2 linked regions of the Notamacropus eugenii genome follow. The protein of the gene in region 2 interacts with the protein of the main gene of each other region in a pairwise test. Links are inferred from orthologs where the notes say so. Each region holds a gene or a part of one and is shown on either strand. Other genes may lie near its edges.

Region 1 (7,281 bases), on a different chromosome or scaffold from region 2:
TAGAGCAGGGCTTCTTAAACCTTTTCTACTCTCAACCCCATTTTGCAGGAGAAATTTTTATGTGACCCTGGGTATATAGGTATATGAAATAGATACACAAATCAAACATTTACTGATAAAATATCATAAAGTAATTTATTTTTAAAATAATTCTTTGGTATACAGATAATTTTACCATTTATTAAACATGAAAGCAAATTTGCATACTAATGAGATGCATGTGCTTATTTTTGCATAAAGAATCAAATCTTGTCAGAATATTTGATACTGCAGGATGTAGAGAATCTTCAACATTTCTTCAGAGTTGAGCAAAATTTTGATTTTATAATCATCAATGCTGAGAACACCGCTTCGCATAAATACGTAGTACAACATGGCAGAAGTATATTTAGGGCCATTTCAGAAATAGTTGGAAATTCAGTCCTAATCTCAAATCGAAACTCATTTAATGATTTTGTACACAGAGAAAAAATGCTGCAATTTATTACATAAAATAGTCTCAAATCTGAGCTGATGTGTTTCTGGCTTTCCAAAGTGCTCATGTTATGTGTTCAGAACCAAGGCTACAATGAAGCTGTGCAATGCAACACAGGAGAGTGCTGCCAGAAACACCTGGGATTTATTATGCGTTTGATTCTGAATTACTTTTTGGTTGCTGCATGTTCAGAAACCTTCTACTGTTGCTATATTTTTCACCACCCCTCACATTCAGTTATGAAACCCCATGGGGGTGGAGACCCACAGTTTAAGATGCATTGTTTTAGAGGAAAGATGCTAGACATTGCTCCTGTGCTTTGGGTTGGCAGGTAGAAGTAAGAATGTACCTTCTGAATAAACAAAGAAAAAACAAAGTCTAAAGCAATCTAGAGTGAGTAGCAATCTAAAACAGCACATCAAAAATTACTTGAATACAAGATTTAATTACTGGTCTTAATCCTTAGTATAACTAAGTGATTAATTTCCTTTCTAAAATCTTCTCTGGAAGTTACTTTTTTTTTTTTAAAAGAAACATTCTCAGGATATGGAAAGGTTGCACACTAACATCCCTGACAAGAACATGTTTAGGTTTACCTTGGTACTGTGGAAAAAGGATTTACTGCCAAATGACTGGAAAAAATAACAACTTCCTGCCATACTTCCTATAAGTAAGTCTACTTCAAAAGATCTGTGATTTTTATCAGTGTAGGTACTTCCTCCTTAGCAGCATCTCTATGCTCTTCTGGAGCTGCTGTAGTCAAGAAATTCATCAACCCATGGCTAACCTTCCAGGGAGGAATCTCTTTAAATTGACGAATTACCCATCACCTGCCCATCATGCTAGGTCCAGCCAAGGTTTCACACATTCCTTGCACAGTCTTCAAGAACGACATCAGAAGAGGCACTGGAGTAGAACTTTAGTGAAAGACAGGATACAACTGGTGTGCAAATTATGAATCAGTCCAAGGTTTAATAAAGGTTGTTTGAATGAGTAAGTCAATGAAAGGCTAGACTATTAAATCTGAAAACACCTCTTCCCTCTCCCCTTTATTGTTTTCAAATCAAACACTGATTACTACATGTAAGACTCTATGTGAATACGCTACCGTCTTCCTTAAATATAACATCAAATCAAAATCGTCTTTAATCCACTCTTTTCACCTGGAAGTAGTGTGAGGAATGGATTGTACGGGGAAGAGACCTGTCCTAAACTCGAAGAGGTGTTTCAACAAACAGCAGAATGCAGGCTCCTTGTGTACAAGAGCTGCTTCATTTTTATGCCTGTAACCCCAGTCTAATACAATGCCCGACGATAGAGGTACTTAGTAAATATTGTTGAACTGAACTGAAATCTTCAGCACCCACTACGCAGAGTACGGAGGGGACCGCAAAGTTTCAGAAGAGACAGTTCCTGTCCTTATGGGGCTTAGTTTCGTGGGGAGGTCAATCACACACACGATTCTGCGTGAGGGAGTCCTTCGTTGTTCAGCCTCGTCCGACTCTTCACGCCCCCTGGATCCACGGGCTCTTCTGGGCAGGGATGCTGGAGTGGTCTGTCAGTTCCTTCTCCAGCAGATGAAGGCAAACAGAGGTTACGCGCCTCGCCCAGGGTCACCCAGCTCCCGGGTGGCTGAGGCTGGACCTGTCCTCGGCTCTCCCGCCTCCGCGCCCTGCACTGCACACACAGCGGTTCGGTCTCGCCGCCTCCTAAGCGCACCACAGAGGTAAACAAAGGCTCCTCGGGGAAGACAAAGGCCACTGCAGGGCTGAGGGGAGGATCCGCGGAGAAGCGGCACCTGGATCGGGCTGTAAAGGTGGGCCAGCACATCCCCCAGAGCCACAGAAGGACACTGCAAGCCCGCGACAGGCCGTCCGGCAAAGAGGCGGAAAAACGGCAGGCAACGTGCAGGGCGAACGCTGCTATCTGGCTGGGGAAGGCAGTGCTGGGGAGGAAGACGGGAGGGCCTAGCGGACGGCGGAGGGCTTTGCGGTTAAGGGGCTGCAATCACCCGGGGTCGGGAGGCGAAGCCAACAGAAGACGATTTTAAGTGGGGCAGTTTTCGCCATTACAAGATTGCAATCAAGGGTTGGTAAACAACATGTGAAGCGTGCACACCCACAGAGACTGGGGCCACTGGGCTCTCCGCGGGGGTCTCCAGGCCCCATCCCGAGCGGGGCCGCCCTCTGGGGCCTCGGCCGCGGCCCAGGGCTCGGTACCGGAGGAGAGTGGAGACCTGACCATGGCGAGCCATCAATGGCCGCGCCTCGGCGTCCTCTTACCTGGGCGCCGTCGGCGTCTTCTCCCCACTCAGCAGCGCTCCCGAAGTAGTCTTCATCCATAGCCGAGGAGACACCCGCTCGAGAGTGCGCCACCGCTCGCCCAAGCGCCACCGTCAGCGCCACGCCAGCCGAGCTAGCCGGGGGTAGCGGACGAGCGGGCTTCGCTATACTCACTCCCGTTTGCGCCTGCGCCGTCGACGGCGCCTGCGCGCTGGTTCCCAGCTTGAGTAGTTTCTCAGTTGAGGTTCGCCCCCTGCTGGACGGCAACCGCGCACTAAAGCGGCGTTGAATAGCGGAGCGCTCCCAGCAAATGTCTCCAGCAGGCTTCCGTACGCTTTCCTCTTCAGTACCCGTGTTCTAAATTTGAATAGTTCCCGAGGCGCCACCTGAATCTTTCGCGGTCGGTAACTCGAGGGTGTCGGCTCTGTTCGGGTCTGTTCTCTCCGGGTTTCTCGCGGTGAGAATCCTGCGGCGGGCCGCGGTACAGAGGCCATGGCCTCCGAGGCACCCCGGACACCTCCAGCCTCGCGCTCGCGCATTCGCCTCGTCCCCCCACCCTCCCACTGGGGAATGGGGCGTGTTTTTCACGTTTATTGGTAAAGAAGCGGGCATTTCCCCGACATATTACAATTAGCCTTTCCAACAGGTTTCTTTGCCTAGATAAACCGTCACGTCCTACTTAGGGGAAGCCCTCCGCGCAGCCCCCCTGCTGTGCAGCCCCCCTGCTGTGCAGCCCCCCTGCTGTGCAGCCCCCCTCCGCGCAGCCCCCCTCCGCGCAGCCCCCCTCCTGTGCAGCCCCTCTCCGCGCAGCCCCCCTGCTGTGCAGCCCCCCTGCTGTGCAGCCCCCCTCCTGTGCAGCCCCCCTCCGCGCAGCCCCCATCCTGTGCAGCCCCCCTCCTGTGCAGCGCGGCCACTCCCCACCCTCTCATTAAAACCACGGAACAGAACACGTGTAGCCCGCAGACTGGACCTGCGGCGGAGAAGCACTTTACAAATCTAACCCGGAAAGCTTGAAACCCGTACGATACCTGGTTCTGGTAGGCATGTTTACTGTCATTCCTTCGGAAACATTTCTGGCTTTTCCATTACTGAACGGTTCGGTTTCATCTGAATAAATCTGCTCCTTTGCGCCCCTGGGATCTTGCGTTCTTGGTTCTGCTTATTCTGTTCTACACCATGAAAATCGTATGTTTCTGGTACCTTTTTTGCGCTTTGATTCACAATAATAGTCCACATTTACCTGCCGTAGGTTCCACCCCTTCCAGTCAATGGTCACCTTCTCTTTTCAGGTTTTTTCTTCCACAAAGAATGGGGTTATGAACACTTTAATATGCCAGGTGTCCCAGAAGTCTGGAGTCATTCAGAATTTAACTACATTGCACGAAGACTTTGGGGACACGCTCCTCTGTTTCTGTCTTTTAACTCCTTTGCAGAATGTAAACCACAGCAGGATTGTTAGGTTGGAGCGTACGCCTGCTCTGTTTATGTGCCACAGGGCAATCTCCAGATTTTCCCTTGCTTTCTATACCCCTTGTAAACAAAGGTCCCCAGGGGGCCTTCCTTTCCCTTGTCCATCTCCTGTTTTCTTTTGGCTGTTGTGAACAGCGCTTAAGCCAAAATCCATGACTACCTAGGTATGCTAGGTAAATCTAGTTATAACTAATTTGCTAAAGAATGGTTTGACTTAGATATTTTGCCATGAATAACAGATCCCTAGTCTTTTAAAACTGAATTTCAGGGGTTCGGCAAGTTTAGGATTTCATCCTGTACAATTCAACCAATAAAAATGGATCTGTTTGTGCTAGGATACAATTACAAATGAAAACTAGTACCTGTCCTCAAAGGGCTTCTATTTTGCTGAGAGGATGCAATATGTAAACAGATAAGTAAACACAAGATAATTTGGAAGAGGATGAGAGCACGAACATTTAGAGATGAGGAAAGATGAGCTAAGCCTTGAATGAAGCTAAGACGCCCTGGTGGGTTGGAGAATGCCTGTAGAAAGGGGAACAACCTTTGCAAAGGAAAGCAGGTGGGGGATAATTCCAAGTTTGGGAAATTGCTAAAATGTAGATTAGGTGAAGAGTACTGTGAAAACAAGCCTGGAAAGATAAACTGGAGTCAGACTGTATAAACCTTTAAAAAAAATTTTTATTGCTTTTTTTTTTTTTTTTACAGAACTTGTTTCCTCCCTATGTCTTACACACAATGAAAACCTGTTAATGCCAAGGTAAGCATTTTGTATTTTATATGAGATGCAACAGGTAACCATTGAAAATTCTTGAGCAGGGGAGTGATGTCAGATATGTGCTTTAGGAATATTATTTTGGCAGCTATGTGGATGGTACATTGGATAGGGGAGAGATTGGAAGCTGTGGATTCATTTAGGTGGCTGCTGAATAGATGAAGGAAGAGATGAATGAGAGTCTGAAGTAGGGTGTTGACCACATGTGTGGAGAAGAGAATATATGAAGGATATGGGTTGGATATAGAAATGGCCAAACTTGACAAATGATTACATATGGAAGATGAGGGAAAAGGAAGAGTTAAGGATGATTGAATTTGTGAACTTTGTTGACTGGAAGAATACCTCCAATAGAAATATGAAATTTTTGAGGAGGGTAAAGGGAAGAACATAGTAAGTTCTAATGTGAACATTTTGATTTTGAGATGCATAAGGATATCCAGGTAGAGATTTTTGGCAGGCATTTGGTGATACAGGTCTGGAGCTCAGAGGACTGGGTAGGGTTAGGAGTCATGTTAATAAAGGTGATAATCTTGAACTCCTGGGACCTGATAAGAGCATTGAGAAGTTGTAGTGAGGGGAGGGCCCAGGACAAAACCTTGGAAATAGCCACGCCATGCATGGGGATGGATAGAAAACTGGTGATAAGCCTGCAAAGGAACCCGAAGTGTGGTCAGACAGGTCAGGAGAGAATCAAAAGAGATGAGTGTCAAGAGCTGAAGAGTATCCAGAGTGATCAATGTTAAGAAAGATGAGCACTAAGAAAGACCTTTAAATTTAGTAGCTAAGAGGATGTCTTTCTTAGCTGTTAATAGAAGGCAGTTTCAGTGGAGTAATAAGGAGGGAAGCCAAGTTTGCAAGAGGTTGGGAAGCAAGAGTGAGAAGCAAAAACAGTAGAGAGTTTTTTTCTAGCAGTTTTGGCCATGAAAGGAAGTCAAGATATAGGATGATAAGTTGAGTGCATAAAGTTAAAAGATTTTTAAGGGTGAGGGGAAGAAGACTTAAGTAGGTTTGTAGAAACTGGAGAAGGAACCAGTAGATAGAAGAGATTTAAGATCATAGAAAGGGGATGACTGAAGGGACAGTCTCCTGGAGAATGAGTGGGATGATATCAAAAGAAGACAGGGCAAGGCTGGACTTGACAAAGACCACCTCCTAATTAGAGACAAAAGTAAATGAGAAAATAGAGATGAAATTGAGGGGTATTGTACTTTAGAGGGGAATCCAGGGAAGTGATGAAGGATGGCCTTGATTTTCTCTAAAGAAGAAGGTGAGGTTCTTTGAGATAAAATATGAGGAGGTGTGATAGTAGGCTTAACGAGAGGGTTTGGGACAGTTGCTGTGGGTATTGTGATAGAAAATTATACATATCTTGAGATCTGTAAATTTTTGTATTGAGAATTACATAGTGTGCCTAAATAAACTTGTATAATTTATAATGTATAACAAATTTTTAAAAGTTTCTTCTATAAGAAAAATCTTAACTGATCCGGAATGTCCATCAAAATAACTTTTCAGTTATTACTCCAAAACTTCAAACACTGTGATCTTTTTATCTTACTCCTTCCAATGATGCAGATTACAAAAAAACCCTGAAACACAGAAGTCATATTTATGCCGATCATACTTGTATATCATCTCTCCAGAGCAATCACTGCTGACAGAATAAACAATTTTTAGACTTACCAGACACATAATTCAACCTTTCAACAGATACCAAGAGCTTTGTTGAAATTGTTGTCTATCTAAAAATGTGATGGCAGAACATCAGCAGTTCTACCTTCCAGTACCTCATCAAAGCTGAAATTCTACTAGTACTTTAAGGGATTCTGGGGTATACGTTGGTAGCCAAAATAAGACATACAATATTTTAAACTGAAACATGAAATTCAAATTCTTCTGGCTGGTTGCCTACAGACCATTTTCTTTAATTCTTTTCTTTTTTTAATAGGAGAAAAATTTAATAAAAGCAATTTAAGGTCACAAAATCTAACTAGATCTGCCTCATTGTGCAAATGATTTGTCTCCACATAATATTTTGTACACTGTAAATAATAAATGGTGAGTGGATGCTTTCTACGGAAAAACTTTAAAAAGGTATTTGGGCACAATTGCTTTGATGAATCTAGAAAGTGTTAAGAATCTTTTGAAGTGAAAGCTTTTCTAACTGGCACTTTGTGTGACAGAACTAATACTGGATGGAAGTTGCAGTCAAATTTAGGTTTGATGTAAAGAAGAACTTCCTTACAACTAAAACCAAGCAGAAGAGAAATAAGCTG
Region 2 (8,044 bases):
TGGGGACGCGGGCACTGCAATGTTGGTGGAACTTGTAGCCACATGTCTGGCAGCGGAAGCCATGAAAGAGGAAGCGGCGGCAGAAGTCACAGAAGGTGAGAGCCAGGAAGGTCTTCCGGGCAAAGTTGTGAGCAGCTGCAAGCGGAACATCAGCCCGGACCTCGACTGTCAGTTCTTCCCCATGCAAGGGAGCAATGGCTGCATCCCAAGCTGTTGCTGTCTTCCGGCTAAGGGGGCCGAGAGGATGAGTCATATGGGGAAGGAGGGGGCTAGGGGAACTGGGAGAAGGGAGGACAAACAGGGAGCTCACCCCTGCACAAGGCGATACACAGCGCAGCAGTCTTGGTTCAGTCCCCGCACCTTCAGCGCCTTGTCCAGTGAGTCGGAGACGGTCATCCCATCTCTCGCAGTTACCTAACAGATGCTTGTGATTTACTTTTTCCCAAGTTTCCCTCCTTGTCCCAGCTCCCAAGATTAGGAGTTTCTTCCTTCCCTGGGCAGGGCCCCTGATCTTTCCCAGATGGCTTGCTCACCACTGTGCGCTGCTGGTTGGGCAGATAGACCTTCACAGTGCCCCCAACCCTATTGCTGGTGAAAGGGATAGCATCAGGATCTTCAGGTAGGGTTAAGCCCCTGGAGGGTTCCACAGGGGTGGCAGTCGGGCCTCGTCTCATCTTGCCCCCCCCCACACTCAAGTGACCTGAAAGGTGGGGAAAGACACTGTTGGGAAACGATGATGGGCTAGGCTATAGATCTCTATACTTTACTGAGGGGACAAGGATGATGGTGGGCTGGACACTGGTGCAGCAGAAAGGGTGCTGGGTTTGGAGTGGGAAGCCTTGGGTTCAAATCCTGGCTCTGCCATGTATTAGCTGGGTAAACTTGGACAAGTCACTTCACCTCTGCTCGCCTCAGTTTCCTCCTTTGTCAAATGATGAGGTTGGATTACATGACTTTTCTTCCCTCTCAGCTTTAGCCCTATGACCCCTATGCTGTGCAAGCACCATTAGAATGACAATGATGTTGGGATGGCTCAAGATCTCTCATTACCATTTATGGGGATAAGACTATTTGGGGCGGGGGAAGATCAGAAGACATTGAACTCTTGGGGGGCAGGGTGTGTGTGGATCAGGAAATCTTTAGTTCCCATAACAGAGGTTGACAAAGGTGGAGATAGAAATTTCTAAGCACTGTCAGATGGCCAAGCATGATGGGATAGGAGACTATGATTCCTGCCCCCAACAGCTGGTGCCATCCATCCTACCCTCTAATTCCAGCCCTAATTCTAATCCTTAGGGATCTTTTGTGAAGGAGCTTAAATGATTTCGGGGCCAACTCTGAAGTGGGAGTGGGGCTGCCACAGAAACAAGCAGTAGAGCTGCTGCCTGGGTGCTGGGGAGGAAAGAAAGTAAACAATACTGAGTCACCAGAACCTGCAGATAGAGACATGTTTGAACAAAGCAAGGAGGGGAACATTTCCACAGCACCCCAACAGCCCTTTTGTTGTGCCAAGGCAGGGGCACAGGATTCGAGAATACAAATAAGGTTTGCAAAGGTACAGGGGAGCTGTGACCCCCTAACTGTTCTTCACACATGCTTTCAGCTGTAAACACAGTTGGACAAGGCAGGGACTTCAGAGTGGTCACTCCATGTGGATCAATGTTTAGAGCTGGGCCCCTGGGGAAGCGAATGGCAGCACTATGGACATCAGCAAAGGAACACAGAGGTGGAGCTATGGTATACAGTGAGTGGGCCTTGGAGAAACAACCAGCACCTGTTGAGCAGAGCTACAGGAAGCAAAAATCAGAGTGATTAGCAAGGGCAAACCCTGACATTATAATTGGCTGGAGCCCCACCCAGGGGAATATCATAAGTCAAAGATTTGGGATTGGGGGGGTGGTGTGCCCCTCGTGTCCCTGTGCATGGGTGACTGTGTGTGTATGTACTCTCTGGGAAATTTCCATGATTCTGTGGTCAGCCTTGTGAGCCTGAGTACTTATATGGGGAGCCAGTGGCTACTCAAGTGGTTGCCAGACTCCAGGTGGGTGGGGACAACCCACAGGTGCGCCCAGTGTCCCTGGGCCTTCATTTCGAAGGGACTTGGACTGTTGCGGGGGGGGGGGGGGGGGGGGGGGGGGGGGGGGGCCGAGGCGCGGCTGAGATGAGGGGAGGCGAAAATTTCTGAAAACTCTTCGCAGGACCTAGATATTGGGGTTAGCAGAGGATCTCCAAGAGCCATAACCAGGAAGCTCTTATCACTAGGGAAAACGAAGTTTCCGAGTGTGGGTGGGGATTTCCAAGCGCCAAAAAGGGGCAAGGGGTAGAAGGGGTAGGTGGAATGGAAAGATTTTGGGGGGGAGACGACGGTGAAGAGGGGGTGGGAAATAGCCCCACCCCGGGAGGGACTCTGTGCGCAGGCGCCAGCAGCCAGATAGTTTAAAGGAACCAAATCCCGTGCCCCTCCCCCTTCCCTTCGCGCTTGCGCGTTGCGTCCAGCTACCCCTCCCAGCGACGGGAGATTCCATTCTTTTTCCGTGAAGGGGGGAGGCACGGGATAAGACAGGAAGTAATACAGAACGGCCACCGTGGCTTCAGCCTGGCGTCGTCTTACCTGTCACGGTGCTGGCACAGTGGCCTCCTCCATCTTGGGGCCCATCTTTCCTCTCCCAGAGGGTGGAACCGGCCACGGCCGCCTCAAGGCCCCTGTTCCGTCAGGCCTGCCCCCGTCGAGATCCCATTGGTCGCTTCAGCTCCAGCAAAGCCCCTACCCACAATCTCATTGACTATAGGAGCCGCCGCTCCTCCAGAATTCCATGCTCATTGGCGGATGCTTTCTCCTCCTTAGGCAGATGACACTGATTGGCCACTCAGGGAGTTCACCCCTTTCCTTTCAATCCCTCACTCTCCCGGAGCCCCACCTCTCCCGAGTGCACATCGGTCACTTCAGGAGCAGTTTTCCCTCAGTTCAATAGTTGTCAGGCCCCGCCCTCTACCTTCTCAATCCTGGGAGCCCCACCTCTGTCGAGTGTCCATTGGCTACTTCTCCCCCCACCCCTTCTAGGCCTGCAATGATTGGTCAGAGCGTCTTGTTCCTCTTCCTCCTCCCACTTCTCCGTTGGTGCACTCTCATTGGCTTTCTCCAGTCTCTTAGACAGCTCATTGGCTGCCTGGGTCTTGGTGTTGGTTGTGGCTCTTTAAGCCGACCAGGAGAAAGGTGGGGCAAAGAGTTGACTGAGAACTGGGTGGTGCAGGCTTGGGGCTGCAACCCGCCTCGGGGGTTAAGGATGTGGCGGAATGAGTGCTTTTGAGTGAGCTGACTGTCCCAGGAAAGAATTCTAGAGCAAACACTCCATTCCGCCTCTTCCCGTCATTCCTATTGCCTTCCCCCTCCCCTCTCCCGTTGTCCATTTCGGACTCTCTCTCTTCCCCTCTCCCTCTCCCTCTCCCCCTCCCCCCATGGGTTTCCCTGGGAAGATAAGGTCACCTGAGGGCAAGCTCTGTCTGTCACCCAGCCTTCTCAGCACTGGTTCGAGGAGAGAAATGAGGGAGAAGGGAGGGAGAGAAATAGAGAGACAGAGACAGAGAGACACACACAAAGAGAGGAGAGGAGAGAAGAGACAGAGAGAGACACACACACACACACACACACACACACACACACACACACAGTTTTGAAATCCTCAAGGAAGAGAGCTCTAGACGCGTTAGACCTGGGGCAGCTCAGGAGAGGCTGCTCACCAATGATAAAAGCTTCAGGCTGAGCTCTGCTTTTCATTTTGTCATAGTCCAGTCAAGGAAAGTGAATCGATTACTGAAACTCAATGATAAATCTGGAAAACCACTGAGGAAAAAAGTCTAGTGTCCTGATCACCTCCAGTCAAGATCCGTTCCTGTCAGTTTTCAGCCAAAGAGAGAAGAAAAATGGGGACTGACTACAAAGAACCCCTAAGGAGAGGTCAATGAAGAAGGGAGCCTTAGCCTCAGGATTCCCTCAGACCAGGCAACATTACTCATCCCTATAATTTTCAGGCTAAAAAAAGACTTATGAGATGCCTGATGCCCTTTGAAAGGCTTAGGGTACCACTAAGAATGAGAGCCTAGGCTAGTGGGGGCTGAGGGGCAAGGACCTGTTGTTGTCAGGTGGAGGACAGAGCTGGGAGATCACTGAGAACCTAGGAAAGACTTTAAAAATCAGTGGGGCCAAGGGCCTAGGCCACTGGTCACCTCAGGCTGAGACTCTCTGCCCTGTGAAAACCTGCCGCAAGGCTCCCTGCACGTCTGGGTTCCGGAGGCTATAGATGAGTGGATTGAGCATGGGGCTGAGGACAGTGTTGAGGATTCCAACCCCTTTGCTCTGGTCTGAGGCCTCCATGGAACCCAGGTGCATGTAGCTGAAGATACCAGCCCCATAGAAGATGCTCACAACAGCCAGGTGTGAGCTGCAGGTGGAGAGGGCCTTTCTCCGACCCTCTGCTGATCCGATCCTCAGCACAGCAGCTGCTACCTGCAGGTAGGAGGTGACAATGAGGACCATGGGGACTCCTGCCATGATGATACTCAGAGCAAAGAGCAGCAGCTCATTGAGGTGTGTACTAGAGCAGGCAAGATGAAAGAGTTGGGGGAGGTCACAGTAGAAATGGTTCACCACATTGGGGCCACAGAAGTCAAGTGTGGATAGTGCCACTGTATGGGTCAATGCATTTCCAAGTGAGCAGGCCCAAGATGCAGCCACCAACACTCCCTGGACTTCTTGTCCCATTTGAGTTGTATAGGTGAGAGGATGGCAGATGGCCAGGAAGCGATCATAGGCCATGGCAGTCAGCAGGAAGCAGTCAACACCAGCGAGCAGGTGGAAGAAGAAGAGCTGAGAGAGGCAGGCAGCAAAGGGAACAGCTTGGTCTTGGGATACAAGTCGCACTAGCATTGGGGGCACTGTGACGCTGACACATCCAATATCCAGCAGTGACAGATTCCCCAGAAAGAAGTACATTGGCGTACGCAGCTTGGGCTCCACCAAGATGGCAGCCAAGATGCCCAGGTTGCCGCCAACTGTGGCCACATAGGCCAAGAGAAAGATAACAAAAAGGACTGGCTGCAGTTCCCACCTCTGTGTCAACCCCAACAAGATGAACTCTGTCACAGCTGTCACATTATACCTAGGTTGGAGGTCCATGGGTGGACTTTCTTCTTGGCCAGTAGCAAGATGACTGGAATTGAAGATGGCTGAGGGAGAAGCCACAGTACAATAGAGTCGTTAGCTCAGAGTTGGGGCCCCATTGTCTCCCTGCCCCACAAGCTTCAGCTCTCAGCAGCATCTCGGCTTCTCCTCACATTTCCCATCCACCAGATTCAGGCGGTCATCGAAATCTGTCCCTACCTCTCTATGTCTAGCTGTGGCCTCACTCAACACTCCCTGACCCTTTGCCCAGACTATGTGATGTCCCTCCAACCTCTAGTGTCCTCCACCCAACCTGTCCTTTCTAGGAAATCCCTCTTCACATCTGGTGTGGACATTGTGGTGAGCTGATAAGTATATGTGCATGCGTGTGTATATGTGCATTTGCAGGTATGTGTGTTTTGCTCTCTTTTTTCAGTAAAACACTCTTCACCAACTATAGACGTCCTTGGAATCCTGTGCCTTAGTGAGGATGCAGAGTCTCCTCATGTCTTACTGAAATCAAGATCAGCCCTGTTGGTTTGCACCTAATGTCTCTTCATCTTCATCTTCAAGCTAGATTGCTGCCAGATCCAAACAGGTATGGAGAGAAAGGAGTTTTGTTTCTCAAGGGAATGAAATAGAATAGAAAACTAGGGAGCAGATAGAAAAATGAAATATAGAGGAGATTGTTGGAAAAACGTTTTCTGAGCTTTGCACAAGACCCCTGATTGATTGTTCTTGGGGGCTCTAATTTTGACATCAAATCTTATGGAACTTTCTCTACCTTGAAGGCATCAGAGTGGGAATTTTCTGAGCATGAACGCTTTCAGGTTCCTGTTCGTTCCTTCCTTCTTACTGCTTAGCCATAACAGGAAAGGAAACGGCCAAGTACAAGAGGCACTCTTCTTTACTAGAAATATGGAAGTCAAGCCCAGGAAGTGATGGGATTTGCCCTTGGTTTCAGTGTGGCTTAGCAGCTAGAAGCCTGGCAGCAGAACCAGGAAGCTGCCCTGGGTTCAAGGCCTGCTTCTGACACAGACTGGCTGGTCAGGTGATCCTGGGCAAGTGACCCTCTTCTCAATGCTGCCTGCAGCTCAAAGACTGTCCAGTGCAGAGGAGGTGCTGAGCTACACTGGCACGGATAGGTGATCATGGCTGTGGCTTGGTTTCCTGCCAGTGGCAGATGATTTGGACATGGATTCCTTGGGGTCACATCAATGTCTGGTCTTGACAAATAAGTCGAGCAGAACTTGTGGAGTTCTGGCTCCCTTCAGTAGCTCACCTGAGCCCAAGGACTCATTTGCTCTTGAACACTTTCCTCTAACAGAGCCATCCACAATCTGGCCATTCATAGCATAAGCCTACAGGTGGGACTGACACCATGATTGTCCCCGTTCTCTGAAACCAAGAACTGCAGTCAGTGATGCACATGGAGGCCTGGAGGCCTCAAGAGTGACAAGGCTGCTGGGCCCTTGGCCTGTTTAGCCAGAGTGCTCATGTAGCTGCTATGGCTGATCAAAGGCTTTTGTCCTGATCCAAGTCCACCCTCTGTACTTCTGGGATTGACATCCTTCCCATCCCTCTCCTCTGGGAGCTCATCCTGTTGACCATTCAGGCAATGATCTGAAAACATGCTTACTATATGCAGAGTTCTGGAGCTAGAAAAGTGAAAGAGAAGTAGGCCTTGCCCTCAAGGAGCTTATGTTCTGCACATAATATATAGAAAATGAATACAGGGTGATCATGGGAGGAAGGGCCTAGCAGCAGAGGGGCCCAGAAGGGCATCAGGTAGAAGGTGGTGTTTGAATTGAATCTGGAGGGAAATCAGGATTTAAAAAGTTTCAGAGCTGCATTCCCGACACAAATGACAGACAGTGCAAAGGTGTGGAGACAGGAAATGGATGTGGGGAACAGGGAGTAGCCCACGATGGTTGGACTGCAGAGGAGAGAGTAACATGGGAGAAGAGGGAAAGCCGGGAAGGCGGTCACTTCTGAAGAGCTTCACAAGCCAAAGAAAGATGTTCATATTTGATCTTAAAGGCGACACGGAGCTACTGGAGAATGGGGAGGAGCACGTGCGTGTGTGTGTGTGTGTGTGTGTGTGTGTGTGTGTGTAAGAGAGACAGAGATATGGACAGAGACAGACAGAGAAGGGAAGGGTGTGAATCATCCTCAGCAGCTCTCCCATTTTCACATCCCTCCCCTTCTGTGCTATCTACAAGTACACAAGACAAGTCAGGGAGCATTTATTCAGTCCTTACTGTGTTAAGGGCTACAAGTACAAATACAAGCCCAAAGCCAGTTCCTGCCCTGAAAGAGCTTCCTTATGTTCTGCTGGAGAGAGAAAATGCCTACATGGGACCTGGAGAGTTGGAATGAGGGAGTAACATGTTTGGCCTGGGCTGTCCCTGCAAATGGAGGTTCTTGGAGGAAATGAGCAATCGGAGAAAGGGCCAGAGGATCTTTTGGTGTGATGGGGCTCCTGGGACATGATGGTGAGAAAGCCAATATTCCGGAGTGAGTCCCCGAGAAGGATGAAGATTGTTCTGGTCCTTAAATTTGAACTTGGTCCTCCAGTACTTTAGATCTTTTATTTCTTTTCCTTTTCTCAGTCAAGCTTCTAGAAAGAGTCATCCTCATTTCTTGCCTCCACTGTCCTAGCTTCCATTTGCTCCTTCATCTTCATCATTCTGCTGCTGCCCCTCAGGCTACCCATCATTTCTTATGATAAACCCAATAGGCTTTTTCAGTTTTCCCTCTTGCGGATCACTCCGTCCTTCAGCACACTTTTTCTTTGACTTCTGCTTTGGTTCTTTGACTTGAACTGCCCCTTCTGAGCCTCCCTGTGGGCGTCCCCCAAGGCTTGGTCCTGGGTCCTCCCCCTTC

The links. The genes of interacting proteins can lie anywhere in the genome.
Region 1: the proteins of ARAF (region 2) and NELFCD interact in binary tests that used the Homo sapiens proteins (3 or more experiments, as listed by UniProt). The link is inferred for Notamacropus eugenii from reciprocal best matches to the Homo sapiens genes ARAF and NELFCD.

What each region holds. Positions count from the first base shown.
Region 1 is NC_092872.1:506,007,976-506,015,256, forward strand, and holds the start of NELFCD (negative elongation factor C/D), read right to left. Parts: upstream 3,063-7,281; 5' UTR 2,818-3,062; coding exon 2,758-2,817; intron 1-2,757. UniProt on the Homo sapiens protein: Essential component of the NELF complex, a complex that negatively regulates the elongation of transcription by RNA polymerase II.
Region 2 is NC_092879.1:101,763,075-101,771,118, reverse strand, and holds the start of ARAF (serine/threonine-protein kinase A-Raf), read right to left. Parts: upstream 3,075-8,044; 5' UTR 2,612-3,074; intron 701-2,611; 5' UTR 675-700; coding exon 534-674; intron 415-533; coding exon 311-414; intron 228-310; coding exon 1-227. Other genes in the region: olfactory receptor 3A2-like, read right to left, coding at 4,226-5,223. UniProt on the Homo sapiens protein: Involved in the transduction of mitogenic signals from the cell membrane to the nucleus. May also regulate the TOR signaling cascade. Phosphorylates PFKFB2.